3 linked regions of the Styela clava genome follow. The protein of the gene in region 1 purifies or fractionates together with the protein of each later gene. This does not show direct contact. Links are inferred from orthologs where the notes say so. Each region holds a gene or a part of one and is shown in the gene's direction. Other genes may lie near its edges. The genes, in order: E3 ubiquitin-protein ligase RNF123-like, nuclear factor NF-kappa-B p105 subunit-like and ubiquitin-associated domain-containing protein 1-like.

Region 1 (11,639 bases):
CCTATTTCATTTTTTTTGTTTTTCAAGAAATCGAGATAAGTTAGTAATTTATTAGATATTATTTTTTAAATCAATACGTTATTTTCAATTACTTATGTTTTACGTCACTCTGCTGTGTGCTATGGAACGCTATCTAAGCATACCATAATATTATCATAAAGTAATGAAAGCCTTGACTCTCCATTAAGTCACTCATCTACCATACCTGTGAAATTAAGATATAATAAGGTTTTTGAGCGATTAACTTTTGCTTTAGCCAAATGAGAATAAAAATACCAAATTGGGTTCTTATTTCGTCATGTCGCATCAGTTCTGCTCATTTTATCACATGTTTCATGTCACCCATTTCATTTATTATTATTATGTTATAATGATACTTTTAATAATAAAACACTGTTCATTTCTCGTCCATGTGTGACTTATGTATTAAATTCATTGTGATGATGCGTGAAGAGAAAATGAGACATTCGATTGATTATTTGTTATAATAGGCCTATATCTCGATAACTATAGTCAATCTAGTTACGTGATACATACTGCTATTAAAATACTGCTCTAGAAGTGTGTGTACCAATCATCAAAAGGTAACTTATTTTGTTCGCCTACTTTACATCAAGTTGCGTAAAGGGACTGAAACCTATTGGCGGGGGGTATATTCACTTAGCTAACACAGACAGTCCCAGAACTCGTCATAGAGCAATAAAATAAGGAGAATTGGAATAAAATTATGGCATAACCCTAACCTGGTACACACACTACGAGAGTATCAAAAATTGTTAGATGGATCAAAAAATTACGTGATGAATAAAAGATAGAAATCAGTGCTAGATCGCCAAAGGTATGTATATGTGAGCGATACTAATGGTAGACATCAGTAAAAGATGACCAAAAAGGTAGATGAAATTAAATGTGTCGGCCTATAGTACGGCAGTTCTCCTTTGCATAAAAATGAAGGACCTACCTTTAACGAAGCTGGCACCTCTACTATATATATAAATATATATCTCTATATCTCTGACAATTTAAAATCATACCAATTTTCGTCATTAGTACCTGTTATATATATCTACCTTTAAAGGTGAAAGTTTCTTGGGCGATTGCGCTGAGCTCCCTTTCTAATTGTCCCACCTTATACAAGCTTTCTTCCACTTTACTGAACTGTTATCAATTTCCTCCCAACTTCTGGCATTTTATCCAAACATCTTGCCAATTACAACAGAAATCAGTCTAAAAAAATGCAATTCTCTTCTTCGGCTCGGAATTCCTATAGCAAAATAGTTCGACACTGAACTCAACTTAGAAAAAAAATTAAATTTTATTGGCAAAAACTCTAGCGTAAGCAAGCCTTAGAAAGTTAGGAACGTTTAAATGAATTTAATGCTTTTTGTAGGAAGTTTTCATTTGCCAACTTTGAAATTCTAAATTACGACTCACGAAAAGTTTAGAATTTTCAACTCCGGAGGTTTGTAAATACAACTCCACTCGGTTCATGCAACGCCAAAATAATTGCTTTGTTCCATGACAAATTCACCCCGTGACACAATTCTGTTGGTGTTTTTAGTTGTGTGCTTATTATGGAAATGGAAAGAAGTAAAACATGTTGAATCTCTGTCAGGCAATGCGGTTTAAATATTCCAACCGAAGTTAGCAAACATCCGAAGCACCGAGTTGCAAAAATATTCGGTCGAATAAAGTGACTGAATAGAAAAGCGTCACTGTGAAACAAGAGAGCTGTGCTCAAATATATGGACATGTCACAAAGTCTCGCTATTTTTTATTCTGACACATGAAAAACGAATCTCTTGATGTCCACATAAATTTTTGAAATGAGTAAAAGTAATAGCCTTCTGGCAAAAAAATCAATCTTCAACCACTGAAAATCTCAAAGCAATTGATCCAGTATTCGAAGAGAAAAGCGATTTCATCATGACGAGGGAGAAGAATAATACTAACAAGAACAACAACATAATATTGAAACGATCGTTATGTACACTGACGTGTCAAATGAATAAAACAGCAATATTCTGAGTGAAATATTGCTTCACATAGTAGCCTACTCAGAGAAAATTTGAGAATGGAATGCAATAGCTTTCTAGCGACTCCTTTCGTCTTGAAATGGAAACATTTGAAATTAATTGGCTTATCTGTAGATTGATCCGCAGGTCCATGTCGTGTTCAATATACGTATAGACAAATAAGTGATGGAAACAATCAAAATATAAAGTGAATCGCATAATAATCAGCTGTCGAATTCAAGGCACATGGACAACCTTTATCAAATTGAAATATTACAAAGAGCAATACTCCATACATATATTGATGAAATCCATTTGGTTGCGCAATCTTCCCAAATTAATTAAACTTAAAAAAATTAATCAAACGTAGAAAATAGTAGGCGCAAATAGTACAGGCAAATTTGAAAACAACACGTAATAGGCAGGACTTCCATAAAATTGAAACCAAAAGTAAGTACGATAGTGAAGTCGTATTGCATGCAATAAGTACAGTTGCACATATTAATCCCCGTCAGTTATTTACCGAGAAACAATGTTTCATTGTTCGACACAATTTTAAGTTATATTTCATTGCAACTCGGGTCGAACATCGCCTTTACCTGCAAGGATAGGATAGGATTTACATAATTATCTCGGGAGAGGGGAAAGTCGATAAGACGACTCCACCATATGGCGAACCGCGGTCTCTCGTCCTGTTACCATTCCACGTCGGGCATGGGATTAGTTAGTTATTTTCGGAAGCATGGACTTGATGGTGGAGGAAGCCGTAACCGACCAGCGGTTACGTGAACCACCTTACAGCGACGAGCGATCCTCTCGCACATAACCATCGCTGCATGGGATTCGAACCTGTGAACCCACGCAGAGTAATCAGAGGTGCGGTGGCGAGCGTGTGAGCCACACCGCCGCGCCAAGAGCGTCTATTACGATTCAGGCTAATTAAGAAATTAAGGTCAATGGGAAACGTGCTTCTTAACTTAACCGCGAGAACAGTTCTGAAGCATTAGTCCAAAAACAAACGATTCAATGCAACGGCCAGTATATATTAAAAGCCGGTACATTCCCAACCCGTACGGACATTTTCACCCAAGGTAGGCTACATATTTATTCATGGACATTTGCACAGATGGACCTCTTGCGTATATTTGCATTCAGAGTCAATTACCCTCGCGAATATTTGTGTTTCGGCCAAAAATAGTATTTGGCCCCTACGTTTTACAGTCATTGCAGGTTATAATCCCATATTTGCGGTATATTTTCAGCGTAATCAAATTCACGTTGGTGTCCAGCTAGTATACACTGGCAATTATACCGTATGAAAACTATCCACAAATGAACAACACGTCACAGTTAACCAACCCATTGCACAAGAGAAGCGTGCTTCGATAATTATCTTTTTTTCGTAATTTGTGTTCGATTGATTTTTTTTACCCGTTGAAAAAAAATAAACTTGACTTGGTGAAAACAAAAATAATCAAATGAGATCCAAAATTGAGAGTGAATAAAGACCTCGACTTTGCGAAAGCGAGATCAATGTCAAAGTTGTGCACGTTTGCAACACTTGTCCTTATTGTATTGTTGATTCATGAAGATAACTAGGCCTACTGTTGTTTCCTTACCTGTTTCGAGATTTTGCTTGATCTGAGTTAGTGAATGAAAATCCAAATTAAACGCGTGCGAATTTCGAATCCACCTCTCGGCGGAGAATGGCAAAAAAACGCGTTTACTTCAAAAACTGGTGTTTGTGAATGTAAAAGTTCACGGGTACAAATATTCATCGGTCAAATGTTTGTGGGTACAAATGCGGGCTCGGCGGTGTGGCGCATCGTGCTAAGGCTATTTGGAATACCCCCGCCACAGCTCCTCTGAATACCCTGCGTGGGTTCGAATCCCGTGGGGACGATTGCCTATGCAAGAAAATTGCTAGCCTCGTCTCCGCCTTGGGGTGGTTCACGTAACTGTTGGTCGTCTAAGGCTTTATCCACTATCATGTCCATGCAAATACCTGGCTAACTAATCCCATATTCTACATGAACTGGAACATGAACACGAACCGGACGAAAGGCCGTGGTTTGCCTTTCGATTAAGCCGTATTATTCACTTTCCTCTCTCCGGGTTAAAAAGCTAAATCCTATCCTGTATACATACTGCAGGTGAATATCTTCGTGGGTGCTAATGAAGACCTACTCGTGCAATATGTGCGCGGGTGAAAAAGTCAACGGGTGCAAATGTATTGATTGCAATTTTCTGTGGGTGCATATATGCACGGGTGCAAACGTTCAATGGTGCAAATGTTCATGTACATGCAATCTGTACGTGGTTACCAAATGTATGGGTACAGATCTCCACGGATGCAAAGGTACGCGGGTGCAAATGTACGTGGGTGCAGTTATTTTGAACTTTGCGCTCCTTTTTTAAATAAAGATTTTTTATGTGTTCAACATAGATCGAAAATGAGAATAAAAGCTTAAAAGCATTGTCAAAATTTTCTGTAAGGCGCAAATTTCAAAATAATCCCAAATCGACAGCATTCAAGCGTAAATATTAAATTAAGTTGTACATTCTGGAAATTTATAGCAGATAGTATATATGATTTTTTCTAACAGCGATGACAAGTCACAATTCAAGCCCTGCTTATAGAAGATTTTTAACTAATTTCTAGAAAATTCCTATTTGTCAGAGGTGAACCTTAATTTGCAGGAAAAATGAAAAGTTTGTTTATTCCATCGCAAGCACTTGTACTTCTGAAATCTCTGGCGAAATCGTCGTAACAGTATTTAAAAAGAATGTTTGCGATTTTTATGAGAAATGTCTATCGTATATAGAGCTTTATGACGAAGCCCAGGTATTGGTGATGATTAACGTAATTGTTGAAGGTACAACAGCCCGAAAATTTAATACTATCGTGTATGTTGTTCGTTAAGTTTGGCCGAATCCTCATTTAATTGGGCTTGTATTTTTTGTGTGCATGCTGGTGGGCAGGCACATGAGATACTTCATGTTTTAAACTTTTCTATAGGTTTTGTTTGCCCTCCAGAATTATCCATTTTTAATTTATGTTTGTTATGAAGTTTTCGAAATAAACTATCTATCTATCTAATCAAGTGCGTTTTGTCCCAACAACAACTTTACTTTTTCAAAACTATCACCGTATATCAAAATGCCCACAACAGTACCAGGCTGGCAGTGATGGAAACATACCACAATTTTCACACCGCCGCCCCCAGAAAAATGTTCCAATAGGCCTACATACGAGCGCCTTTGATGCTTATTTGGAAGCGTTTTTTTCGAGTGGGGGGTATAACGCTTTGATGCAGACCGCTTTTATTGTTTCATTACCATATTTCGATTCCACATTATTAAACTATTATTTACGCCGTTTCTACTCTCTAGTGTCCTTGTTAGCTGATTCTTTGTCGGTTGTACAGACACTTTGTACACTTTTATAGACAATTTGGTGCAGACAACCGTGTCTTAACTATGTATAAGACGGTAGGCCTACTGTATAACTATTGTGCTACAGCGACACTGCGAAGTTTGCGACAGACAGATACGGTTGGTGCGGAGCAAACAAATTCTGAAATTACAGAACCATTTTACCGTTTTCGCTCAGTGTTGACGTGACTTTTGATACATCGAACTTCAGACTGGATAGATCTGTAGATATTATGAAAAAATGATGTTTGAATAAAATACATTGTAAAAAATTAAGATAGGCATACCGGTACCAGCATACGAACAATACCGGTAGTCAATCTCATTCGAAAGAAACCAATTATGCCTTTGACATTCAAGTTGCATATCCGGCATTCCGGTCGACATAATTCATGCAGATTCTGCTAAAGTGTCAAGAGTTATTAAGAATTCAATATTCAGATATTTACATTTATTTCAGTACCGCAGTACCGGTAATTATTTTAGGCTATGCCCCAATTCCAGAATTCCTCCAGGCAGCCAGGACTGCATGATGATACAGGGATACGGTACCTGCCGGTACCGGTAGCTCGTATGCAGCATTACCAGTCAGCCAGTAAGGAAGTCTGGAAGTAAGTGAGGCACACAACTCGCCCACATTTAGACATGGACACCTCGCTTACCGACAGGGTTTAGAAGATATGATTTACATAGGAGGGTTTAGTCTTTAGATTGCAGAAAGGAGGATTACATACCCGGACTGCCGGAGAAGGATTTACATACCCCTGTACCCGGGTGAGAGGAAAGGCAATAAGACGGCTAAATCATATTGCGAACCACGGCATGACCGCCACTGACCCACTACCACACACGCCAAGGATCACGCTTTAAACCTGTACGCTTTAAACCTTACGGTACTTGATGTTTCTTTTGCTTTCCCGATTCTATAATTAGTTTTATTTATTTTGTTTTTATCAATTATTTTATTGTCTATTGCTGATTATGGAGTCGAAATGAACTCATACTTATCAATTACCAGATTACTGTAACAGTATTCCTGTATTTTGTTTATTGCGTATTGGTATGTGTTTCAAATAGCTGAATAGTGCCAGAGTGTTGATTTTGGTTTTTGCTGCAATAAATAGTGCTCTGTCTCTGTGTTAGAGTTGTTAACCCAAGATGTGAAATTATCGTAAATATAGTTTTCAAGGTTATAGAATTCGATATAGCAATTCTGATCTTCCACTTTTGACACTGTCTGACTGTCTTCAAGTATTGCTGAAGATAGTTTACAATTTTCCTTACATGTTGCACTTATAATGAATTTTTTATGTCCGAGGGTTACATACCTACTCAAACAGGTACAGAATTATTTGTGATTTACTGATTGAACAGCATATTTTCTGTCCAGCATTTCTGGTTTCCAATATTCTATCCGGTTTATCAAGACTACCTAAAATGACATCATAATATGCAGAGGCGAAGGGAAATGTCATCAATGATATGTCATTATTAGATTCAATACAACTTCAATACAGTCATAATGAAGTTACTAGACACAATTTTAAATGTTTTAACAACTTCTTGAAAGAAAGATGTGAATTAACAATTGTATTATTTGTCATTTATTTGGTTGCCCGCACGTTTTATGTGATAAATACAAGTGAATTTCGTCATGATTGTAAAGTGGGTGAGCCACACTAATTCTACACATGGATCACCAAATTTTCAGTTTAGAATTCATATTGAACTAAACTATTTTATTTACATGTGAACAGATGGGTTAATATATTATTCAGCCTGCTTTTCATTTTGGTTTATAACCACAATCTTTATTCCATCTGAGTCTTGACTGCTGAAGGGTAGAATAATGGCGACTTGCAGTTCTTTTTCTGGGACATCATTTGGGAAGCTCAGGGAAGCAAAAATGTGTAAGTATTTTTTGTGATCGATAACTGTACATATATGTGTATATCGGATTATCTGAAACTGGGCCCTCAACCCTTCTATGGGGCCACAGAGCGGTTGTCTGGGGGCCATGAGCGAATGCTTCCACTAGATATCATTTGGGATGGCTAGTAAGTAAATTGATTGTGATTTGTTTCATTATTTGACTGTAAAGTATTTATTCTTTTTCTTTCCTTCGTTGACTTTTTTATCATTGGATATAGGATATATAGGATTTATATATTCATCTGGGGAAGAGTGAAGCCGATTAGATGAATAAATCATATGCCGAACCAAGGTCACTCGTCCGGTTACCAGTCCATGTCGGTTATGGGATTAGTTATTTTACATGCTGTGACTCATAATCCACTTTAGTCTAGGAATAATGTTCCTAATATTAATCATATGGTCTATAATATATTTTTTGTGTCCTTCACTGTTATGACAGGTCCACCCGACAAGTTAAATGCTATTCTAACCAAAGTTTTTCCGAAGAAGTTCACCACCAAGCCATCTGGATTAAAAAGGTAATTAATTGCCATATATTATTATTTCATTGTTTCTTTCTTGTTCATTGGTATTGGCGGTAGTAACATCCATTTACTTTATGAAACAATCCTTCATAGACGGAGAAGATTCACGTTTGAGTTGTGAGTAAATCACAATCGTAACCTCGAAACAGCGAAAGTCGCGACCCGTAACCCTGTATACTAATATATACCATGTGGTGCTCGCTGTCTACCAGATATGGTGTATTTTCTTTATATGACGAATTTACGCATTATTTGACAATATACCACGGGTTGCTCGCTGTCTACCAGATATGGTGTATTTTCTTTATATGACAAATTTACGCATTATTTGACAATATACCACGTGTTGCTCGCTGTCTACCAGATATGGTGTATTTTCTTTATATGACAAATTTACGCATTATTTGACAATATACCACGTGTTGCTCGCTGTCTACCAGATATGGTGTATTTTCTTTATATGACAAATTTACGCATTATTTGCCCTGTACAAGTCTCTGCGCAAGCAGCTACTGCTTGATAAGTGGCTACTTTAATACCTACCCCATTTATTTCACCCTGGGTGTGGTGGTGGGCACAGGATTTGATCCAGAGATATACTTGGTACCATCATAGAAAAATATTAACGCTTTAATTTAACCACTTGGTCACTGCACCCGCAAACTCCCGTATATCAAAATTAAACTTTGAATCTGCAATATTTGGAAAATGACTGCGTTATAGTCACATTTACAATTTTTGTTCTCATGTCAAGAATCAGTGACTGGAACAAATATTGTTAATTGCAATTATACTGTTTCTTCTGAAGAAGTCATTCTATTCATATTCAGTTCAGCGGTTTAGTTGTGTACAACAGTGAAAACACTTTTTGTATAAATAATACAGAATTGAGTTGATATACAAATAAAATCATAAAAATATTCAACTATGTTTTACTTTTTTAATCTACAAGAATTGAGCATTATTGGAATTCGGATAGCTGATTAATATTACCCAAAAATATATATGATAATTGTGTTATGACAATTTCAACATATAAATTTCTTTTCACTTATTATAGTAATGATATGTTGGGATTTCACAACCTGGAAAAGCACATCACAAGTACCTTGCTAAACGCAGAGGAAGCTAAACCAGAGATGATATCTTCTTCAGGTAAGGGAACTTTCCAAACAGAGTATTTTCCAAATAGCGCAATATAAATCTCATCTTAAAAAGTACGCTATATGTATTATGTTATGTATACTATATGACAATATGCAAATTGCAGCAAAATCATGGTTTGCAATGTATCTTATGTAATATGATTAAATTATTTGTGGATTGTATTCAAATATTCAAACAACTGCCATGTTCGATCGAAGATTATTCAAAGTGTTATCATATATTCAAAATTCTTTTCATGCTAATGATAACCTATGCACAAGAATTGAATTGTTCTCTTATAAAATAAGCGTATTCTTAGGCAGACTTGAATTTCATTTGACGGATTTTTTCTTCCATAATCTCCAGGGAATTTTAATATTTTAGTGTTGAAGAATATGACATTCACAACTTGACATAAACATGACCATATATGATCCTATCTTAGCAAGATTTTTGTTATATGTTCTTTCCCTTTGTTTCCTTCCAATTTTGCATAATTCAAATTTGCACCAGTAGTTAGTTAGAGCCAGAGATCTCATTTACCGAATAATTGACTATTTCTTACTCTTCGTTGTTATTCATCAATTCCCTAAAAATCTATCAAAAATAAAAAAAAATTTAAATTTCGACTCGAGTCACAATTTCTTTACAACACTGGTTCACTTCACCCAGAGTTCTGCGAGCTCAGTCCGCGAGGGTGTAGGTGTATATTCAAATTCGAAAGTTTATATTATTATGTGCATATTGTTATTGTATTGAATACAGAGGTATAATATAAACATATAATAAATGATTTTAATGAGAGTTTCGTTAAAGACCTTCAGGGGTTCTGCTCCAATTTGTTTGTTCACATTTTTTTGGATTGGCGATTTTTATTATAATAAATAGAGCCCCGGTATGTTTCTTTGGCGTTCCGCTACACCAGAATCCTTGAAAAGCACTATTCTACAACAATGGTTAATTTTGCTAATAAATACTAATTTCATTATACTACACTACAAATATTACTTTTTTACCAGTAAATATCCGTCTTGACTATTTTTTTAAACTTGAGTTCTATTTTTAAAGCTCTTAAGTGTTCAATCAAATATTCGATCAAATGAAGCAAGTCTTGTTACTTAAACTTCATCAATTCACAAATAGGAAATACCCTGGGCATTTTCATCTACTATGCATCGATTCAAGCAATTGTAAATATTTTATTTAGAAAGTAAAGCTGGATCGAGTTCTGGTAGCGCTGGTACGAAGACTAGGAGTTATTTGAAAGGTATTTTTGGTGAAAAGAAAGTGGATCCAAAAGATTCTGAAAAAGATAAAGGACCTGACTTTGAAAGTTAGTGCTTCCCTATTTGTGTATTATCTATTTCGATTTCAAGTATCTTACGGGAATATTTTTTTTGATACTCTCGAAGGATGTGAACCAAGAAGGCGGATACTCGGACGTAGTATGTGTACCAGTACCAGGTATAATTTCAGGTACAAATACTACGGGAGTCACTTGGCTAGTCTTCGAACTCGTAATATCTATTCGTAACTCGTAAATAAGGAAAATTTAAATATAATTATGATCCAGCCTAACCTGGTACACATACTACGCTCCGGTATCCGCCATAGTGGTTCACATACTTCGCAAGTACCTTTTTTTTGTTTTGGTAAAATCATGTAAATCTTAAATTTTTTGAAACAATGAAAAGATAACAATTTATTATTAAATTGACCTTTTTCAAAAAGCAATAATTCAAATAGCCTATTATTAAAACTTAATTCTGGGAACAATCCCAGAATTATTATTTATTTATGTGTAAGACTAAATCATTGATGATTGTCAATAGACTTATTATATCATTCAATTATCACCTCAAACCAGCTAGCTGCATTTATTAACTTGTAGGCTTAGCTAATATCTGTAATTGAAAAATACTCGACTGGTGCTTGAATGTTGAATTGGATATTTCAGCTTTCATACGAGTGAAATTTGTGGGTTACATTATTTGTGTGGGAGATCGTATATTGCTGTCATTTTCATTAGCTATACAGGATCTTCGATGGCATAGTTTGTACATTTTTTAAAGAATAAATAATTTATAATGTGGTAGAGTTTGTTTCAAATAAAATTGTGACCTGTATTGTCGTCTTCCACGCTAGCTTATTTTAGATCTTCAAAATTCGTAATTTTGACTAACTTTTTCAAGTTATTTTTTTATTACATTTTACGGATTTAGAACTTTTTTATTTGATATATAACAAGAGTTTCAAGACCAAAAGGGTGAATGTTGGAATGTTGAAAAAGTTTTATTCAAAAATGTCGTAAAGGAATTGCTGCCTCTTATTTAAAGCTGTTTTTAATAATAGTTTGAAGGATTATTAACTTTAATATTTCAGTAAAAATTTACAAAAGTCTGAAAAAAAAAATAGTTTTTCCTATTTTTGAAACGGCCAATAGCTTTTCTTATTTTTAAAACAGCTTTCGCCGTTTTGGGTTACCATAATCAAGTTTTTTTCCCCCATCATTCGATTAAATACTTTTCTTGAAGACTTACTTTAGCTTTAAAAGTTGCATTTAACAGACTAATTGAAACATATG
Region 2 (11,918 bases), on another chromosome or scaffold:
TTTCGCTTCCCTGTTGCTATTTGCGAAGGATTTGTCCAGTGAAGCAGCGCCAGACGCACAATAGATGCTTTGTTTTATGTCGCCTATTTTGGGAAAGTTGTTAGAGATCATTCCCAAGGCAGTGCAAGCTTCCCTGCTGATAAACATTTTATCGGTGCTGTCAGTAACGTATGTTATATGCCTAGTCAACAACATCGCCCTTTCCATCATTTACAGGGACCGCAGTGTCCACAAGTGTGGTCATATGCCGGACATTCCGCTTGCCTGATTTTTGGAATCTCCTCTTATCTCTTCTGTAGGAACTGTTACGCGCAGCTTCCGCACCCATCGAATCGAACAGGCGTGTAGCTGATCGTTTTCCAGATTTCTCAGTTTCCACGAATAGGAAGACTTCTTCGAGTGTCATGTCCTGATTTCTGTCGCCAAAAAGATCGAGTTTTATTTCCTGATCAGCTATGCCTCGCGAGAGCACGTCCTGTAAGATAGCATCTGTATAATTGACAGTTGCTTCGCAAGAAAGACATTAAATTTGGGAATTTGCTTATTCCGGCTTGTCCACGTAGGCGGGCGCCAAAAGATCGGACAGTCTCATCTCTGTCTTGTCGCATGTTATGCAATGCCACTCTTGCAACCATTGTGTTTTCTTCGCGGACTGCCAGTCGTTTTATGGCAGCTATAACGTTATTTTCTGATTTACCTGCCAGACTGCCGCCCGCTGCCTGCGTGATGTTTTTTCGAAGGGCTTCGTCGCAGCATTCCAGTAGCTGCATTACTCTATCGTTACCCTCTATTTTCCTTGCGTCTACATATTCCTTCCATCTCGTTTCAAAGTATGCCCATTCCTCTGATGTTTGAGCCATGGTGATTGTTGGCCTACGCACTTTTGCAACCGGCGATGAGTTGTGGGTGATGGAATGTGCTGTTATCAAGGCAGCCACGATGGCATCGCTTTGGTCTGGTGTTTGGTATGTACAGCTTTCGATGGGGCAACGGACGACGGACATGATGAATGCAAGCACTGGTACTAGTAAATAGTCACGTTAGCCAAATGTCGATAACTAGATATTAAGCAAGAGTTCCGTCATAGACAGGATGGACAGTCCATTTGTTACACTTTTATTAGTAAACAATGACGGAACTCAATAATAACTGAAATGAAATAAAGAACAAGAGTTAACATTAAATCACACACTACACAGTATACATGAATATTCACTACATATGATTAAGCCGTCTTGGCGACTCTCCTCTCCTCCGGGATAAATACGTAATTCATAGCTATGTAAAGTACTAATACTAAGCCGTTTAATGTTAAAAAAATCAAAAATGTTCTAGCTCGTTGCAGCAATAACTCGTAAGAGGACACGGTCTTCTTTTTGCCGTTTGGGACTGAGCGTGCTTGATTGCGTGTGGTGGGTCTCCCTGGTGGCGTATGCGTTTAAGGGTTGCAGATCCACTGTGCGACGTGGTTTTCCATTCTTTTTTGCACAGACTACCATTCGGTGGCACCAAGTGACTGGATCGCCAATAGGAACTGTTTTCATCACGCCAAGTCTGACATCCTGGTCGAGTCCAGCCTTCACTTCGTCCTGCCAGTGCAATGGGACCGGTACAGGGGTGTGATGAGCAACTGGGTCGGCGTCTGATTTGATCATCAGTTTCATTGGCGGCCCTTCTAGAATGGGCAAAGGCTGGTGTTCACACGTATTAAACGTGCTGGCTCGGTAGTGTTCAATGAGAAAGTCCTTAATCTGTGCGAGGTTGTTTGTTGTGGCTAGAAATGGGACTTTGGTGGGCAACGTTGGAGGTAGTTGGCGCGAGGACAATCACATTGCTTTTGAGTCTGGGCGCTTCGTTACACTTAGTAAACAATGACGGAACTCAATAATATTTGAAATGAAATAAAGAACAAGAGTTAACATTAAATCACACACTGCCCAGTCTTCATAAATATTCACTACATATGATTAAGCCGTCTTGGCGACTCTCCTCTCCTCCGGGATAAATACGTAATTCATAGCTATGTAAAGTACTATTACTAAGCCGTTTAATGCTGAAAAAATCAAAAATGTACTAGCTCGTTGCAGCAATAACTCGTAAGAGGACATGGTGATACCGATGTGAATGTTGTCTATAGATAGATACAACACACGATTAAGTCGTAGTTTGTAGGATACAACGTTGACTTAACGTGAGAACGTGTTGTCGTTTCAATGTGACTCGTATTTATACATATAGTTATACTCTCGTAACAATGATTTTGGCCGGTGTTAAAAATCAACACCCACGAGCCAGCCAGAAACACAGCCCAAAAGTTATCTCCTTTTGTTGGTACTTTCCGTGTTACTAAAAATAGAATCACGCAACGATAGCACGTGATTGTTTTCAGCCAATCATAATTCGGTTTAGAGGTGGAACCCCACGGGAAGATATAGGGAAGAGGTCTCGGTACTGCCTTGGGTAGTCGACCTGGTGTTGCTTTCAAAAATGGACTGGGTAAGCAGGTAAGGGGCTGTAGACGCAAATAGACATTGCGTTTACAGTTTTTACTCGACCTGTTTTCGCTTAAACGACGGTATTGGTACTAGACTATTTGTTCATCGTCGTTCAACTAGACTGCAAAAAATACTTCAAACTTTTAAATACTGAAATATGAATCCCGCATCAACTGTCAGACTGTGAAGTGCTAGAATTCGGATACGTAATCTTTTCTGACAGTTTTCGGACAACACTTCTGTTGTTATGATTCTTAAATATTTATTTTTGCGCTGAAGGATAAAAAGTTTTTATAATATTACTGTACGTATTATGGCATGGTACAGTGGTAGCAGGCCACAAACTCTCTGAGGTCAGAAGTTGACTAGACTGCCAGAATACTGAAATAGTCAGATAGCAGGATAGAATGTCTGTATGTAGTAGGGGTCTTCTATACTGCTATCTGACTCTACTGCTCTATTTATATTTATTAAAGATCCATGAATTCAATGTTCAGAATATGCCAACACTTTTCTGTAGTGCTGTAATGAATACCGGTATTAATAAAATTAGCTTATGTTTATCAACAGAGAAAGTTTTTTTTTGCATATTTTCTGGTTCCTTTGCTTAGAACTTGAACACACATCATTGCTCCAGTGCTCAGTGGCTCAAAATTTAGCAAAACAACTTAATGCGAGATTTTGACAATGAGTTATTTCTGTATTTGTATCATTGCAATTTAAAGAATCCCCTTTTGTGAGAATCCCCTATGTCATAATCATTAGATTGTATGAAGAGATAGGTTGGGGCAATTCATGCGGCAATGAAAAAATCAATTACAAGGTTATAGTGTGTTTTAGGTTATTGTGTGCGAGGTTATCTCTCTGTCTGTGTATTTTTTCCAAGTTATGTTGAAATTTCGTGAAATTTGGCCCGAGGGCCAAATGCTAGCTTGTGCGAAGTGAACAACACATGCCATAAGATTAATGACCAAAATTTTTGCCTGCAACTACTATAAAGCCTATGTTAAATAAATGGACTGCCAGCGATTTCACTCAGGTATTTGTATACGGTAATCTGGCCCTCCTGTATTGAAGGTTGCATACCCCTGCTGTATCTGATTGATTGTTGAGATGATAAGATTTCCTGTAAACATCAAGCAAACAATTTTAGCTAATTGTTGGAATGAGTAGTACATTTTTGATGTTCTGTAAGAAAATACAGGTATGCATAGTTAGAAGGATTCAAGAGTTTGCAACTATCTTGTTGTGATACAAAAATGAAGAATGTCTGCTTAAACAAATTATTGATTGGATCAATATTATAAAGAACATCAGATATTTTGGATGTCAAATTATTCTTATATTTATAAGCTGTCCTCTACAAACAATGACACACGTCAGATTTATCCATATTGTTCATGATGTCACTGTAGTTCCTTTTCAACTATTATTGTTTATCTCTGGGAAATTTCTGTGTGAAATTTCACAATGTAAATGTGACCAGTTCATATATTATGTTAGCGCATAGGGTTTCAGATGAGTCCATTTTTGTGTCATAATATGTAGACTTATATAATAAAGAAGATATGTTTGTTCATCAAAATTAAATAATCCTAGCTACGAAGATATAAATTTAAAAACTATTCAGAATATGTGAAATTATAGTGTTATTATTTATTTGTTCATATATATATATCTTTGCAGACTTTGGAAAAATGTATCGAATAACTATATTGTATAACATTTATTTTCGTAAGATGTACTTTTAAATTTTACAATATTTTTTAGAAAAATTTTCATAATCAAAATTTTTCATGTTGGCAATTTGACATCATTCTCATGACTCAATGTGTAGTGTTTAAGTGTAGGATCAGACTTTACAGCTGAATATGAAATGTTTGCCACTCTATATATTTATATATGTTTTTTGCCATGGACTTTCATCATATTTGTTAAATTTATAGGTACTCCTGAAGTATGCGCACCAAGATGTCGCATAACCTGAACCCTAACCTGGTACACACCTGAGTTCAGGTTGTGGGCCATCTTGGTACGCATACTTCAGGAGGTCCAATTTATATTTATATACCGTATGTATTTGTTTAAACTAATTAGGTGGCGGACAGAATGCTATAACGTCAAACTATATAAACATAGACATTCCATTCTATAGCCATATGGAGAAGTTATTATTGATCACATTTATATATATAACCTTTTTCTGGTATCACATTTTCTTTCCCCTGGTGAACCATTCTTTTATTTTTCAGAAAAAAATGAGTAAAAATATGGCAGTCACCTGAAAATATGATGTCATACTTTCTGTTCAATAAAGAGTGCTTCAGTAGTATTTCATGACTTATTTATTATTACTTTTTCTTCTTGGGACAAATATACTTGTAGACATTGTGATTACCTCAATACCATAGGAGATTATCAGGCTATTTTTATGACAGAATGAATGATAGAAGCATAGAATGGTATGACCGAAGAGATAGCGATTTTTTTAAATTGCTTTCAGCAATTTATACTAAACTCAAATTTGTTAACTTTAGAGTACATCATGAATTCGAATTAAAAAATGGGGCTTTAGAATACTAATTATTCAGATAGGGTAATGATTATATTCAAAATTCAAAAATATCTAGTAGTTTGCTCAAAAGTTTTTCAGAAACCCCCATCTTGAAGTAAAATATAAATAGATGAATTTTCAGCAATCCTAAATTTCTACCTTTATAGATCCCATATTATTTCTAACTGTTTTTCAGGCTTCCTATCTTAAAAAATTTGATGCCTCTGGCATCGTATTTTTCACAATCATGACAAACCGTCTGAAACTTTTGTATCAGTGCGTTTTGTGATTTAAAATTCTGCGTCCTAATTTTTGCCAGTTTTTGGAGAGATATTATTTCATTTTGAAGACCTGAAAAATTTTCGCCTAGTTATGTATTCTTGTTTAAATTTTTTTTATATATCTTCATAAATATTACAGCATATAGGGTACCTGATTTAAGATGATAAATAGAATGTATTATATTATAACTATTATATTAGCTAATAACTGTTTAAATATAATATATATATAGAAAATAAATATATTAAAAAACTAGTGTTTGAATTCCAAGTTTTCATTGCGGCGTAATTGTGTCAATTTTCGAAAAATTGTCAATCTGAATCTATTGCATAATTTATTTCATTTAACTTGTGTCCTGAATATGGTGACCGTACATTTGAACCCATGCGTATATCCACGGGTTCAATCTATATGCGGGTGCTATAACCCATGGGTTAGGGTTAGTATGGGTTTAACTATCCGTGAAACAAAAAAAATTCCATAGGTGCAATAGCATACAGGTGCAATTGTCATGGGTTCAAATGTACGTGGGTTCAAATGTAATGGAACCCCTGAATATATATGAATATTTATACATTTCAGTTATAAGACAATTTCTTTGAGATTTAGAATTTATTTAGATTGTTTCTGAATATGTATCTCCGTTATTATTATAATTTAAAAATGAATGCTTTTTTATTGCTTGAAGTATTACCATGAAGTATTGAAATGCACTAACAAATATCGCCGAAATAAAAACATATCAAGTGTAGAGCGTATACTTTATTAGTAGTGGGTGAAATAAACATTTTTTTAAAATATCTTGAAGTAATATTTACTGGTACATAAACTTTTCTTTATTTGATGTAAGTTCTTCAATTTGGAAAAAACATCTCTATAATTTTGAACTCAAGAGGTATATAGATATTGGATATATACCAGTTTTGAATTCATTTATTAACGTTTCCTTTGAGTATGACGCTATATGTATATGGACATTTTTAATAGAATAAGGAAGTGCTGTAATTTGTTTAGTGTTCAATCGAAACCAATGAAATGACTCTTGCTCTACTTGTATACCATATCTCACTTGGTGACAGGTCTATACATTCTCCTCATTAGATGCCTTTATTTGAATGTGGTTTGTCCTAAGGTGCAACACCTAAGTATCCACCATTTTGCAATTTGTACTATTTTACCTACCATAACTATTATCAGTAAATTATAATCCTTGATTTTTCAACAGAACAATATTATTGTAAAGTAAATATATTGGTCGTCACTACGTTAGGATAATTACAATTATTATTACAATAATCCTATAAAATATTTTGTGGAAATTATATGAAGGAAAGTTATTCTTATTAGATGTATCACTCTCCTCAACGAACACTACCTTTTCAACAAAAGTACGAAAATACAATAAATATGTATCCGGATGAGGTATGTGAATCTATAAGAGTATTTAATATCTTCTGATATTTTCAAAACCATAACAATAGTGAAGTAGTTATCAAAGATTTAAACTTGCTTAAAAATGATCCTGCGTCCGAGGATACAGATGGACCATAAGCAACATATTCATTTGACATTAATGAACAAAAATAAAAAGTTTGTTATACATAAAAAATATAACCATGTCAATATGAAGCTGTTCAAACTTGGAACAAAAACTATTTTCCCAATAGCATTTATCTAGATTTATAAAAAAAAATTGTCATTCCATGTGAGAACTTTGAAATTGTGTGTCATGCGGATTTTAGCTTCATCTCTTATACCAGTAGTTTGAATTAAAATACTATTGGTGATATCATGATAAATTTGCTCAGAAATTGCCTCACTCAGTTTACTTTACTGGTCAAATAGTAAGTTAATGATTTATCAAAGCGTTGCTTTTCTTCTTTCAGAGTCAGGAACCGTTTCTTGACATTATCGAACACCCAAAAGCGAGAGGGTTCAGATTCCGGTATTCTTGTGAGGGACCATCCCACGGTGGCATACCCGGGGCTAGTAGTGATAAAAACAAGAAAACATATCCTGCAGTTCAGGTATTTTTAATGCCATAGCTACAGTCAATAAATCCAATGTTATAAATTGTGTGGGTGTTTGTTGGTATGTATAAGGAATTTAGTTTGTAAACAAAATAGCTGAAAAATTTCACTACCTAATAAAATCATGAATATTGTCAAATATACTTGTATTTTATGATTATGATCGGAATATCTAATTTTAAAATATGTGCAAATTTGTGATATATAAGTTTTAGATTATTGTGTGTTATTTGATATAAACATTTCCATTTTAATGTCGGTGCTATTTGATGGCCCAACAGCTAAGCTTATACTATCTATTTATTTATAATTGGATTTTTCTAATTTTTTAATTGAATTCCTAACATTATCAGATAAGAAATCACTCAGGATATGCAAGAATTGTTGTTCAACTTGTTACAAATGAAGAGAACCCACGACTTCATCCTCACTCTTTGGTTGGAAAACAATGTCAGAATGGCATCTGTACAGTTCAGTGTGGACCCAAAGACATGACTGCCACGTAAGTTTCTCTCTTATTTCTCTTTCACTCATTTTTTCTTTCCAGACAGAAGAGCTTTCTCTCTTTTTTCCCTCCCTTCTCTCTTACATATTTGAAGGGGATTTTTCTAGGTGTAATAAAATGATTTCGAAACATGGCGTAATACATGACAGGCCGACAGGGTATAAATATCAGGAGTGCTGTTTTGACAAGCATTGTTCAATTTGGATATCCTAATAAAATCATAGGAATTCATTGCTTATAATTGAGCCTTGGATTCAAAATAATCATAGTCTTAGGCAAGATCATATTTGAACACACCAAGTTAAAATTTAAGACTCGAGTTATAGTTACAATGAGGCAAATGCATACAATAAAAAGAAGTATGTTCGAAGTATTCAAATCATGAATCATTTTGGCCAAAGACCAGAATTATAATAAGCATTTCACAACGTTCTACAGTACTTCGTCATGTCATTTCTCACAAATAATATAAATGCAAAAATTCAATAGGCCTAGCCTATATTTGCTATCAAGTTGTTGTAACTAAATAAGAATATAATTTGATTTATCTTTTTGCGATAAATATTTTAAAGATAAATTATGTAAATTGCCATATTTGGATATTTGTTTTCTAAATGCTGACGGAATATCTTTACCACACCTCATGCTGTGCTGATAGAATGGGGTTCAATTTGAATTGAAATGTTGTTTAATTTATACATTTCATTATAAAATCTTCTTTCTATTTCAATACTTTAAATTTAGCATTTGCTCAAACGAATATATAGATTTTTTGCCTCAATTATCGATTTTTTCGTTTAATATTCTTTTCTATTTATATAGAATCAATTATTAACAGTAAATTTTGCTTTTATGACATCCTCAATATGACCAATTAAAATTTATTTTTATATTAAAAAAATTTGCATTTTTATGATTCAGATTTCCCAATCTTGGGATACAACATGTCACGAAGAAAAATGTAGCAAAAATTCTTGAAGAACGATACTTGGCTGCCGAAATGCAGCTCTCGTCCCTCAATGAAGGATTGACCGCGGACATTCAAAATGCTATAAAGGGTACGATCTCCTTCGATTCATTTTTACCTTAAATGGCTGTTGATGACATCGAAGTTGTTCATTTATACCTCGCCTGTTATTAGAATCAGGGACATCAGAACAGCTTAATTATTTAGTTCAAATGCTCAATGCTTCATGCCAGTTGTGTCTGATTGCCGCTTGCATTTCTCATTGATTATGAGAAATCAATGTTTGAAATCAATCATGATAATATCTTAATTCGCTTCATATCTGTGTATAAAAATAACTTGAGCACTGGCATGGTGGGAATTCCCATTTCACAATGACTATGAATTTTTTAGGTCAGTGTGTGGTGGCGGTGGGGCTTAGTTTTGTTTTGGAAACTCTACATCTGCAATTTGTATTTGCTCACAAATATTATATTATTATAAATAATAACTGAATTGTTTGGTTTCCTAAAATTGTGTTTTACGATTTGAATGGAATTTGCCCATTCGATCCATTCATGAAATAGTCATGATGAATGCCAACTTTTTCTTGATAAATTGTCCCCTGCTGAAAAGAATTGTAATAAGACTGTTTCTCACATCGTATTTCAGAGTATTTTATTATTTTCTGCATTGCAGATATCTAATGAAGTTTCTGATATTACTTTTGGTATAATTTCAAATATTCTGCAATGAGTTGAAATATCTTAAATCTTATTTAGATGAAGACAAACAACGCATCAGGTCTAAAGCATCTGCAGAGGCGAAGTCCATTGACCTCTCAGTCGTGAGACTCATGTTCATTGCCTACCTGCCTGATAGCAATGGAGCTTTTACTTTGATGTTGAAACCAGTCATTTCTGATGCCATTTTTGACAGCAGTGAGTTCTTGTTCTGCGTTTTAATTATATTTGACCATGAATTTGAATTTGATTTTATTTAACATAATTTGAAACAGTTGATCCAAATTGATCATTTTTTTTTTATATTTGTATATTTGATAAATTACTGATGTCAAGTTTTGTGGATTCACAACATTAAGGTTTTCTTATGAAGTGAATCCAGTTCGCATATTTGTAATCTAACTTAATTAATTACCAATTTAGGTAGGTATAACCATATTATGATCCACTATTCTAAATTGAATCTAAAATAATATTTTTCAATAATAATATATTATAAATTGGGCCATGTTTCACAAAAAACACACAGAAGTTGATGTATATTTAATAAGAAATGCAGGAAAAATTATATACAATTCGAAAAATATAAATAAGGCTTTCTTATTCAAATAGGGAGATTTCAATTGCTTAAATGCTAATTTTTCACCCAAAATCCTAGAAATAAGAATTTTACTGACAAGCATTGTTCAGACTAAATCCTTTGCTTACCCAAGCTTAAACTTATGGACTTTTTGTTCAGAGTCACCCAATGCAGCGACATTGAAAATTTGTCGTATGGATAAAACTCATGGTGCGGCAAGTGGAATGGATGAGATTTACTTGTTATGTGACAAGGTCCAGAAAGGTCAGTTTTTCAAATACTACTTAAATGATTTATCAAAATTTACAAAAAGATGAAGATGGTACAAGTCTTGGAGAAATTACCCATGTGAATGAGGCATTTGACAGCACAGAATTTCATACCGGTAACATAAAAAATTACCATAATCTTTTGTGTTTATCTGCTCAAAGGTGGTGTTAAACAATGATTAACTTCACGGTAGTTAACTTAACAAGCAATAATAAATCTATTTGCATAGATTGGTATTTGTGCTTAGTTTCTAAATTTTTTTATATTTTAGTATGTTGATGATTTAGTATATAGTATAATTTCTCAAATAGCCTAATATATTTTTAAACTACAGATGATATTCAAGTTCGCTTCTTTGAAGAAGATGAATATGGAAATGATGATGGCTGGGATGCTTATGGTGATTTCTCGCCTACTGATGTACACAGGCAGTTTGCAATCGTATTTCGAACACCAAGATACAAAGATGTCAGCATAGACAAGCCTGTTCAAGTGCAGGTATGCTGTGTCCTTTACCCTTCGAAAATTCTCAGAAGAATTTTCTTATTTATAATTGTAAAAGTTGATATGCATGCCGGGGTTCTAACTTTTAAGAATTTGGTCTAGACGAAATTTTAAATAACCGCTATTCAAAAAAATGTAATTTGAAAATTGATGTAACCAATATCACATTCACAGTTGATGCTAGTCTATTCATATGAAGTTTTAAATTTTGTAGGAAAACACTTGAGTGATAGTTCAAAAAGCTCTTGATATTTCAGTGGATTCCTGTTACTTTTTCAATGTTATGCTCTTTTACTACTAAATGGTTACGCGTGACCTTGCTTGCTCGAAACAAATTCTTCCCCTCAAAAAATAAAAATATATACTTTTATGGTGCAGGTTCAACTTAGACGTAGATCAGACGGTGAAGTATCAGAACCACGTACTTTCACCTACATGCCTGTTCAAGATGGTTTGTTTTTTCTTATTTTCAGTGATTTTGTAACTATTGAATTCACATTTTTAATAGTTATTTTTCATTTAATATTTACTCAACAAACCAGATCCTGAACAGATACTGAGGAAGCGTAAAAAAGTCAGCGCACATTTTGAAGATCATGTTGTAGGCAATCAACCCAATGGTAACGCTGGACATGCACCTATGGGTACCTATCGCCAGTCAGGTGGTTTCGTCTTTCAGAGCAGTGGAAACAACACGGGTGGTGGAAAGCAAACTAAACGTTTTGGACCTCCTCCTAGACAAGCCAATCCACAAAAAGGACCTCTTGACCCATCATTGTTGCTGTATAAAATGCACCACATGAAACAGGAGCCAGTAAGTGTTAAAAATAACTCAAAAATTTGCTATTTATTTACCTACTGTTTTGACTTTTAACTTTCACACACCACAATTATAAAGACACATGATCACAGAGAAATAATAGATTTCACAATTTTTTCACATTGACTGATGTATTCTTTCATACAGGCCAGCCCGCCAATGATGAACGGTGGAATGATGATGAATAAT
Region 3 (10,882 bases), on another chromosome or scaffold:
TGTAAATCCTGTCCTATCCTATCTTTTTCATTTACCTAAACAAAGTACAGTTTTAAAAATAGTTATTAATGTCAATTTCCATCGGAAATCCAAGTTTTTGCTCGTGGTTATTTACCGTCCTCTAGTGTTTACGCATATTTTGCGAGTTCTCAGGTCTTCTGTTGGTGCGAAAAGTTACTTTGGCCCACAATTTTATTTTCGAGTTTCAGAGGCTTTCGTTCAGTTCAGATATTTTTGTAATGAATAATATGAATTGCTGGATAATACTGAATGATGTTTACGAATATATTTGTTTATTATATGTAACTATGTTCTATGATTATTATTTTTTCATCGTTTATTTATTTTTACAAAACTGTTATGAATCCATAGCGTGAAAAAAAAAACAGATATTTTTGTAATGCGAAGTCTTGTTCAAAACTTTGCTTCAGATTAGCTAAAAAAGGGTAAGAGGTTATCGGGAATACAATAAGGAAATGTGGACACAGTGGCATTTTGTTGTAGGGCAGGGTTGTCAAACTCGTGAGTCTTCGTGGGCCGCATTGCGTTTTGGGAATTGCGCATACAGGCATAGGGCCACAAACAGTTTTTCATTTATTTTGATAATGCATACTTTGAGCATATAGGTTTAGTTTGTAACCAATAGTGCGATGCAATTGAACAGCTGAGTGAAGTTTTGTTATTTTCTTAAATTTTGAATGCCATTTAACTTACATATCAATTTTTGCATTTCACTATTATTGCAGTATTGCAATTTACTTTATTTATTACAAAAAATCATAAATTTTTATGTACAACTATCCAAAACATTTTTGAATAAAGTTTTGATAAGGAAAGAATAATACATACACTAAAATGACCTAATCTAAATATTTTGACCTAAAATTTACAAAAATACTACAGAATAAACTCAATGTTTTACATATGTCCTGACGTTTGGCATCTCTTTTGTGCCATTACCTTACTAATATCAGGCTGAAATGATTTTACAGTACCAACTCGAGTTCACATGATCATCGGTTAATCTGTATCGTTGAGAATGTTTGATTAATTTGAGTAATGCAAAAATATTACGTTCATCATTCAATGTATAGATCAGTAAACAAACAAATGACTGACTTTTCGGACCAGATATTTATCGCCACATTTCCTACTATTACATGGCATAGGAACACATGAGTTATGATTGATATTGAGTTTTAGTATCTAGGTAGTTGTATAATTATATATAAATACATAAAAATTTTCTGTTCGAAGTTGATTATTAAATTTGTCCTATTGACTGCTGAGCTTATTCTGATAATGGTTACTTATATAATATTCATTCATTATATGGAAATGTGACAAATTAAACAATGTGCTTTAGAATTTTGAGAAATACAGAAATATTGCAACCCCCATTTTTTTCAAAAATGCCACCTTCTTCATGTACTTTGCGTTTCATTTAAGTTTTTTTTTTCAAGTATTCTTTTGTTAGCTTTAGGTGTATCCATGATTGGGGCAAATTGAAAACAAAAAATCTTTAAATTTTCCAAAACTACTTTCAGTAAATTGTCGTTTTCTGTTTGAATAATCAATTTTACTCTGAAAAGTTTTAAAAATGAATTACATTTAGATAAAAACTTACAAAATTTCACAATTATTGTTAAGCGTTCGAGGGCCGCATTGAAAGTTCTCTGGGGTCGCATGCGGCCCGCGGGCCGCAAGTTTGACACCCCTGCTCTAGCCCACAATTTTGGTACCCTAGCCCAGGGCTACTCAACTGGCGGACCGCGGTCCGAAATCGGACCTTTCGGGTATTCGATTCGGACCGCGACTAATTCTTTATTTTGGATTATTAGCCCCACTTTTGAAGTTTCCTTTTATAAAATCACTTTTATAGGTTTAAATATATATATGAAAAGAACTCTAACGCCATAATAAACAATCTTATATAGCTAATAATCATTAGTCTGTCTAGGAAGTGCGTGTTTAAATATAATTTCTGGAAAGTCCGGACCCAAATAGTTTTGAAGTTTTGTATGCGGATCTTCGGATAAAAATAGTTGAGTAGCCCTGCCCTAGCCCACAATTTCGATTACCCTAGCCCACATTCTGGTTATGCCAACCGACATTTCTGTTTAGCGGTCGTCACATTTGATTGTGTGGATTGGTTTGGATGTAAAAGAACATGTTATTATTCCCGTAGCTAAATTTCTTAGGTTCCCTTGCTTAAAATCCGGTAATCACTGTAAATATATGTATGATTAACCCTCTGATCACCATGCGATTGTGGGCTGGCAAATTGTGGGCTAGAGTAACCCGTATTTAGGTCTACCTACCATTGAATAATAGTGCTGTAGTCCATTGCAGTATTACAAAGATTTAGTCCATATGAGTAAAAGTGTAAGTGTAATCGATTTTATGAGAAGTAATAGAATAAATATGTACCGTTATAACGGCTCAGCACCATACGATGGTCAATGGCGATGTGCTCGTTAGGGTGATTTGAATAAATAGATCGTACAGGCACTTTATTTTTGATGACGAGGTTCTGACTGAGTTCCTTTCAAAGTTCAAAATGATTGTCCAGAGATGTTTATTGTCAGATTGTTGAGTCAAAAGTTGGTGAAATAGTAGTCAAATAATGGTGAAATAGTAGTCAAATAATGGTGAAATAGTTGTCAAACAGTAATCCGGTAAAATACAGTGCTATTACACAGAAGGGACCAATAATAACTATACTGAACAGGAAAATAGACTTATATTATGTAAATTTAAACTACGCCTAATTACTAATACCGAAAGCCCCCCGATTGAGTAAGATACAAATTGATACGTCCTACCTCCAAGCGGCTCACGCCGAAAGAGATCCCACCAATGCCAAAATGGTCAGGGTTCAATGCCCTAAGTTACCGTTGCCAGTTTAGTTACAATAAGAACAGTCACTGTTTAGAATCATGGCCCCTACAACCGTACCGGTACCCGTACTGTATGACAGTATGATGTCAAAATGCTGAAATGGGCAAACATTCTGACATTATTGACATATGACATATATGACAAACTTGTAAAAAAAATCGCATTGGGAAATGATAATTATCCGTAATTCAAATCTTGTAACCTGCAATAGTATTCACAATTGTATATTGTATTCCTTATAAAAATTTGGGAAATTAGATTCAATTATATGTTACTATGGAAGATTTTGCCCTTGAAAACAAAACCAGAGATGAAAAGAGTAGCAGGGATGAAATATTTTTATTATGCAATAGAGAACCTGAGTTTGTGTCACATATTTTCATGTCTTGTGAATTCACAACATGGGTGATATTTGAGTCCAGTGCATCTTTTTGAAATGAAGTAACTGTACCAAACAATCGAAACACATTTTGTTACGAATCATCACAAAAAATGTCAATTATATCAAAATTTCTACATTTCAGGCCATTTTGCAGTTTGTGTAAACGATCAAAAACCTGGGTGAAATTTTAACGTTTTCAATGAAATGAATGCAGTCCGATAAAATTCAAGTGTCTTTTGATATAGAAAATACAAAACAATTACTTTTACTGCACTTTTTAAAAAATTCATGAAATTCAACATTTGCTTGAAATGGCCCACAAAAAGACTTCGTTAGTCGTTACTCATTCAATTTTGTGTATACAGCAGGTATAGCAGTACATTGTGTTATAAACCGGTAGTGTGCATGATACAGTGATAATACGCTAATATGGCAGTTGCAATGACAGCCTCTGATGAGAAGGGTATTAACAAGGACATGGTACAGGATTTCAAAGTCTCAAAGGAAAATGAACTGCGATTTGAAGTTGAAGCAAAAGAAAGAGTTAAGCTTGAGCTTATGGATGGAATTGCTGAAATCTTTGGTACTGAACTTGTAAGAACCAGGTCATATATATTTGAATCATCGTCCAAAATTGCTGTTTTCACCTGGTTCGGATGTTCTATAAGATTGACAGGCAAACTTGAAGCTGCATATGTTTCAAAAGAGACTCCGATGACGATTTATCTTAACACCCATGCAGCTGTTGAGTTAATGAGAAGGAAATCTCAAGCTGAAGAATTGAGAGGGCCGCGAGTGTTGGTTGTTGGCCCTCAAGATGTGGGCAAGAGCACATTCTGTAAACTGTTATTAAATTACGCCACACGCATGGGAAGAAAACCAACTTTAATCGATTTGGATGTAGGTCAGGGTGGAATATCTATCCCAGGCACCATAGCTGCTCTTACGGTTGAAAGACCATCTGACCCTGTTGATGGTTTTGATACCAAGGTACCACTTGTTTATCATTTCGGACACACATCACCAAATGGGAATTTAAAACTCTATGAAGTGTTGATTTCAAGAATTGCAGATGTGTTTAATGCAAAAAGTGAATGTAATTTAAATGTAAGAGCAAGTGGATGTGTAATTAACTCGTGTGGATGGATCAAAGGACAAGGCTATAACTGTATATTGCATGCGGCTCAGTCTTTTGAGGCTGATGTTGTATTAGTTCTTGATAATGAAAGACTTCACAATGATCTTAAGCGAGACTTACCAGAATTCGTTAATATAGTTCTTTTGCCAAAATCTCCTGGTGTTGTAGAACGATCTCGCGAATTGCGTAGAGATCACAGGGAAGAACGAATCAAAGAATATTTTTATGGACCCAATAAAATATATTTCCCTCATGCGTTTGATGTGAAATTCTCTGAAATCTCAATTTTCAAAATTGGTGCTCCTGCTTTGCCAGACTCTTGTTTGCCATTGGGAATGGAGGAAGACGATACACAAACCAAACTTGTACCAGTGAGACCACAAAGAGATTTAGTTCATCACATATTGAGTCTAAGCATGGCTGAATCCTTGGAGGAAAATCTTGTTGAAACAAATGTTGCCGGTTTTGTTGTTGTAACTGGTGTTGATCCAGAGACTGAGACACTGAGTGTGTTAGCTCCAGCTCCATATCCTTTACCGCGAAGACATTTTCTTATCATGGATATTAGATTTATTGATATAAACAAGTAACATTCTAAATTTAACTAATCTAAAACACCTTGGCTAGTTGTGTTCTGGCCTCAGGTGTTGGAATTTTAGTTGGATAACTACCAGTATGTGAGTATATGAGTGAAGATTACTCATCTATGTCTATTCTCTGAACTCAAGTTCATGCTACCGAAAACAAATAACTAACTAAATCCCATACCCTACATGGAATGGTAACCGGACGAGAGGCCGTGGTTCGCTATATGGTTAAGCCATCTTATCGACTTTCCTCTCCCCCGGGAGAAAATAGATAAATCCTAACCGAACCATAAACAAGAGGCCTTTGTTTGCCACATGATTGAGCTTCCCCATTGACGTGTGGATTCCTGTGGAATATATATGAAAGTCCCATCCAATATAGACTACTGCTACTGGTAGTTGACATCATATGTAATGACATTATATATGACAACGCCTAAATTGAATAAAAGAATACACTCAGTCATTTGCAATATTATGAACTTCCCTGCATTCTGCAAATAAACTTGGCGTCATACTCAGTAAACTGGGGTTTTTTTAAACATGTTGGAATCATTGGTGCTGTAGCAAACAATACAGGTTTCACAAATGTTTTTATTGCCCATTGAATTGCAGTAATAAATAATGGCCTCTGGATTTCATCATCATGATGAAACACATTTAAATAGACTTGATGTATCTGGGAAAAATATTCTAGAACCTTGTTTTTCTTTAGGTTGTAACTCTGTAAAGGTTACATTTGTTTCATTTTCTATTCACATGGTTTTGTTGATAGCTGTTTCTTCACGTGGCCTTTGTGTGACTTTTTAATGTCTTCCTTGAAAGCCGAATTATTGTGATACTGAATTTTTCATCCATTTTTCAAGATAAGATTCTATTTCTATGACAATGAAAGCCTTTTCAGAAAGTTTTAATTGAATGTATGTGGTAATTGATTTGACTGAGAGTTTCAGTTTATTAGTGAAGCCTGTTTTCAGTAATGTTGTTAAGTGACTGCTTTGATCGAATTTTGCAGTTGTATCAAAAGGTTTCAATACAGGTTATTATTGATGTTGTTATCAATCGCTCAATTCATAAAATATTTTAAAAACTTTTGAATATTTTTTATCATATGACTTGAATATGGGTATTGTAACAACAGTAGTATAGGACCATTACTTTGGTGTTTGTGAATGTTCAAAACAAGTATTTCTATCTTCACAATGCTTTGTTGTTTTATTTGTTTGCAGATTTAATAAAAAGTAATATTAAATTAGCCCTGTCTCTAAAATGTATAAAGAATCTGGTCCATCTAACTTTGCAATAAATATCTTCAGTATGCAAGGACATAAAGTACTAGTTGATGTTCAAACAGACATGTCCATCGAATCTGTGAAAAATGAAGCTGTCAAAAAACTTTCAAATATGCGGGGCAGTGGATTTGATAACACTGCAGAATACACACTAGTATGTGCAGTGGGACAATGTAGACGTTTGTTCAACAAAAACACCATAAAATCTGAGAATTTGACTGCCGCTGATATTCTTCTGTTATACAATGTTCAAGAACAAAGTAGTAAAGATCCAGGAGTCCCAACCAGATCTATTCCAACAATGCCAGGAATAAAGAAGGCAACAGAAGGTTTAGTAGCTCGAGGGAAATCAGTCGGCGAAGCTGCGTCATCTGCTAATTCTGCTACAGGCACACTTGAGCAAACTTTTCGTAAGATATTGCTCACTTTGCTTGACCTTTCTTACAAACTGATGTTTTTTGATGAAGAAGCTGATGGATTGTTTTGTTCTAAAAGTAAAACATTGAATCTGGTGGATCCTAGTCTCATTTCTTCACTGACTGCGATGGGATTTTCTGAAGCAATGGCCTGCAAAGCTTTAAGAGTGAATCAAATGGATATGGAAGCTGCCATGGATTGGCTGTTACACAATCCTGAAAGTAGAGAGGAAAGTGCGATGGACACCGATACGGAAACGGATGAAAATGAAACCGAGGATAAGGATGATGATAAACATTCCGCAAAACGAGTGAAAAGACGCCTTGATGCTTGGCGTAAGAAAAATCAGCGTTTACAGCCAAGCAATGAACATATAACAATACTTGTAGGCATGGGGTTTACCAAGGAAGACAGTACTCAGGCGCTTAAACTTAATGGAAATAATCCAAGTGCTGCATGTGACTGGCTTTTAGGGGATAGGAAGGTTCCAGATGATGACCCAAATGATGGCTTAGCTCCTGACAGTGAACTGTATAAAGCAATTGTCAGTAATCCCACAATACATATAGGGTTACACAATAAAAGAGTTTTGGAAGCCTTAGAAGACATGCTTGAAAATCCCTTGAGGAGACACAATTGGGCAAATGATTCGACTGTAGGTTCTGTAATTCTACAAATATTAAAGCTTTATCATAAATATTCCAATTCTGGTTAGCATATTATGACATGAACTTCTCTTGAATATTTTGCTGATATTGAAAATGTCCGAATTTGCTCTTATATTTCTGTATTGACGCTGAGAAAATATAAAATTTTGTTTTATTAATAAATTTAAACCACACAATGCTTCAAATTTAGCTCCCTGTTTAATGGCTTTGGAGTGTATTAGCCAATTATTTTTGTATATCCTTCCCTTGCCATAAGTCATATTTTTGAACTGAGATTATACCTTAGAGTTGTTTTATAACTGATTTTTATACCATGGAGAGGAAATCCGATTACATTGTCAGTGTCAAACCAAATGGCAAGCCCACGACCTCTCGTCCGATTATCAGTTCATGTTAACGGTATTCATTCGTTTCAGACTTATACTTGCGGTGTCAAGCGTGTTTCTAATGCTCAGCACGATGCGTCATACCGCTGAGTATTTGCTCGGACCACAGGTAAGTAATATTAAAATACCTTGTGTTCTCTTCATATTGTTAGGTCATAGTCTTAAGGAAATCACACACTATCATTCTGTAGCTTCTTACATTCTAGAGGTTGCGTGTGGGTGGCCGTTATTTAATGGTTTTCTATGGCCTTGCGCGACTTTGGGGCTGCATGCAACCTTGATCGAAGCGACTTCTATTAATAAAAAGTTGGAGTGCGGAAGAGACTTGTGTATGATTCTTTTCTCATTTTCAATCTGCCGTTGTTAAATACCCCCCCAAAATAAACTTCAGACACTCGTGCTTATTTTTGGCTCTAGGTCGATGGCAACCCTGCCTATAATCGATCGAGTCCATTCACTAAATCAGTCGATGAAACTTGAAGGTGGTGCGTCTCTGTCCCATTGTATAAGTTTCACGTTATGAGATAACGAGAGTCTGTTACCCCTAGGGATGGGACGAGTCCGGCATTACAGAGATTCGACGAATCCGAGTAATAGGTCAAGGACTCGAATCGAATCTGCCGAGTTCGTGACGTCATAATGGAAAAGCAGAAAAACGTGTTTTTGACCATGCTACAGCATCATGCTCTCACAAACATACGTCGTAGCTCATATTTTTTGCCTAATGGTCCCGCATACAGCTGTTGAATCATTTTAAATATATATTTTTTCTCTTTTCTGGCGGCCATAATACAAACGTAAACGTGGGTCAATGTGCGCCTTGGCTGTGAACTGGATTTCCAGCCCACCTTGCGTCAATTCTGGGCGGCTATTCAGAAATTCTTACATGTCAATATGAAAAATAAAAAGCTTTCGACTACAATACTTTCCCATAATTCCAGATATTTCTAGCCGTAAATTTACTATGTCGTGTGCGCAATTGGTAGAGAAATGCCACTCGTCGTCAATACAATGTGGTACATCTGCTTGCAATTTAGTAGTTCATATAAACGTTCTGAAACTCTCCATGATTTCCATTGCCTTTTTAGCGAAAGGATTGCACGCAATAAACTTGATTTAATTAAAAGAGGTATTGATGAGATTCCACAGTGGGTTGATCTAGGGCATGTTTTATTTTTACGTGAATCAAAAATATTGCAATAACACATATTTTATTGTGTACCACATGCATACCAAAAAGGATAGATAGTTTGAAGGCGACTGGCGCAACATCATTGTTATAAGCGACCAATAGTTTTTAACTTGCGTTATATTATCCGGATATCTGTCGTCGTTTTATTAGGAGTGTTTATAATGCACACGAGGGATATTGTTACAGATCCAACCTTGAATTTTAACTAGTTAAGGTATGTAGTGGGATTTATAGAGGCAAAAGAACAAACATAGGCGTAAATTAGTAAAAACAGAATTGATTATAGACTCGGTAAAAATGACGTGGCCTCGAAATCGAATCCGAGTCCAAAAATGCCTGGATTCGACTCGAATCCGGATCCGAATCCCGGCCCACCCCTAGTAATTTCAATGCGAATATACGGTGCACAAACAATTAGGATGAAATCGTAATTGGCGGTTACAGACAGGAGATAATAAAAAAGATTTTAAGCGCGTTGAAACTCGTGTCACTGAATTTCAATATTGATACTCGTTGATGATTACTCCCTTATATTATAACAGTGTTTCTCAACCTGGGTCTAATGAACCCCCGGGGTTCGACAAAAGCACTGTGAACTTTTGTATTATGAAGTATTTCTATTTTCGAGCCAATTAAATATGTAAAAATAACTATTATTTGAGGCAGATATTCAAATTTCAACATTCAGACAATTCATATAATAGCTTATTTATGTGTAGTATTGCGTAGATAAATGTTTTATAGGACCTGTCAATGAGAAACGTCACGCGCTTTTTTAGATGCTTTCTGACCTCAAAGTGTCTAAGGTTGTTATTACTAACCTCGGGGTTTTGAACCTGAATATTTGCTTAAACGCCATGTTATTTATAACCTACTAATAAAACTAGCGGACCTTGAATATTGTGTATTGAACTGCAGGTCCTTTCTCCTTGTTTACTTTCTACTTCGGATCCGTATGTGGTATTTGCCACAAGGATGCTTGAATGAGATAGTATTAAAGTGACAAGTGAAAATAACATGATCTCTTTCAACGAAATAGTAAGTTTATTTGTGAGCTTTCGTCAGATCGTGGTCTAACTTCTTCAAACATTACAAGATATGACTTAATCAAACAGCAATAATGATGACAGCAATTATTGTAGTTTGATTAAGTCATGGACCTTTCCCCGACCTTTGACCCCCGAAAAAAATTCTTCCTATACTTTACCATTGCAAAATTTTCGGGGCTATTTTAAGAGCGCTTTTGCGAGTTGGCGCCTGTAAAACGGGGTATGTGTTTCAAACCATCATTATGATTCATCGCACACAACAATCTGTTTTTTAAAAGTACCGGTAAAGAATTTTAGCCTAGTCTATCACAGCTATTTCTACACTAATTTTTTATTACTGCAATTCAATTTAAATTCATAGGAAGACAGAGTGATCATTGACTTATCTGAAGTTTCCGAAACACAACAGAAAACTAACGAATAGAGTTTAAAAACGCGAAAACGAGGTAATGTTTACGACCACGTTTGAAAATCTGTCTGAGTGAGAAAAGTGTCTGAGCGGATGCAAGTGGAGCATTGTTACGTCACTTTTCGCATCTTGCTGATCGGCCAATGTCACGAAGTAAACAAGAAAGTCGATGCTCGGGAAAAGGTCCATATCTTGTATTGTTTGAAGAAGCTAGATCATGATCTACGGAAAGCTCACAAATAAACTTACTATTTCGTTGAAAGAAATCATGTTATTTTTACTCATACTAATAAAACGTAGCTCAATTTTACGAACAAGTTATTAAGTGTACAAAATTGATTGGGAAATTAGGGCACGTTTGAATTTCACTAAATGGTAGAATTTCCAGAACCGAATATTTCAGGGCGGAGCTTCAAGTAAAAATATCATCACCCGTCGACGACTTTAATATAGCGCTTAGC

The links.
Region 2: the proteins of E3 ubiquitin-protein ligase RNF123-like (region 1) and nuclear factor NF-kappa-B p105 subunit-like purify together in Homo sapiens (affinity purification with western blotting; 4 studies listed by BioGRID). This does not show direct contact. The link is inferred for Styela clava from reciprocal best matches to the Homo sapiens genes RNF123 and NFKB1.
Region 3: the proteins of E3 ubiquitin-protein ligase RNF123-like (region 1) and ubiquitin-associated domain-containing protein 1-like purify together in Homo sapiens (affinity purification with mass spectrometry; 7 studies listed by BioGRID and IntAct, counting the BioPlex papers as one, with this or other methods). This does not show direct contact. The link is inferred for Styela clava from reciprocal best matches to the Homo sapiens genes RNF123 and UBAC1.

Annotation. Positions count from the first base shown.
Region 1 is NC_135251.1:24,678,906-24,690,544, forward strand, and holds the start of E3 ubiquitin-protein ligase RNF123-like, read left to right. Parts: upstream 1-7,191; 5' UTR 7,192-7,299; coding exon 7,300-7,360; intron 7,361-7,824; coding exon 7,825-7,903; intron 7,904-8,969; coding exon 8,970-9,064; intron 9,065-10,262; coding exon 10,263-10,388; intron 10,389-11,639. UniProt on the Homo sapiens protein: Catalytic subunit of the KPC complex that acts as E3 ubiquitin-protein ligase. Promotes the ubiquitination and proteasome-mediated degradation of CDKN1B which is the cyclin-dependent kinase inhibitor at the G0-G1 transition of the cell cycle.
Region 2 is NC_135256.1:16,829,173-16,841,090, reverse strand, and holds the start of nuclear factor NF-kappa-B p105 subunit-like, read left to right. Parts: upstream 1-6,539; 5' UTR 6,540-6,678; coding exon 6,679-6,753; intron 6,754-7,217; coding exon 7,218-7,358; intron 7,359-7,714; coding exon 7,715-7,863; intron 7,864-8,787; coding exon 8,788-8,924; intron 8,925-9,594; coding exon 9,595-9,753; intron 9,754-10,294; coding exon 10,295-10,399; intron 10,400-10,739; coding exon 10,740-10,903; intron 10,904-11,287; coding exon 11,288-11,360; intron 11,361-11,451; coding exon 11,452-11,723; intron 11,724-11,876; coding exon 11,877-11,918.
Region 3 is NC_135260.1:20,338,161-20,349,042, forward strand, and holds ubiquitin-associated domain-containing protein 1-like, read left to right. Parts: upstream 1-6,262; 5' UTR 6,263-6,277; coding exon 6,278-7,432; 3' UTR 7,433-7,563; downstream 7,564-10,882. Other genes in the region: polyribonucleotide 5'-hydroxyl-kinase Clp1-like, read left to right, coding at 3,713-5,011.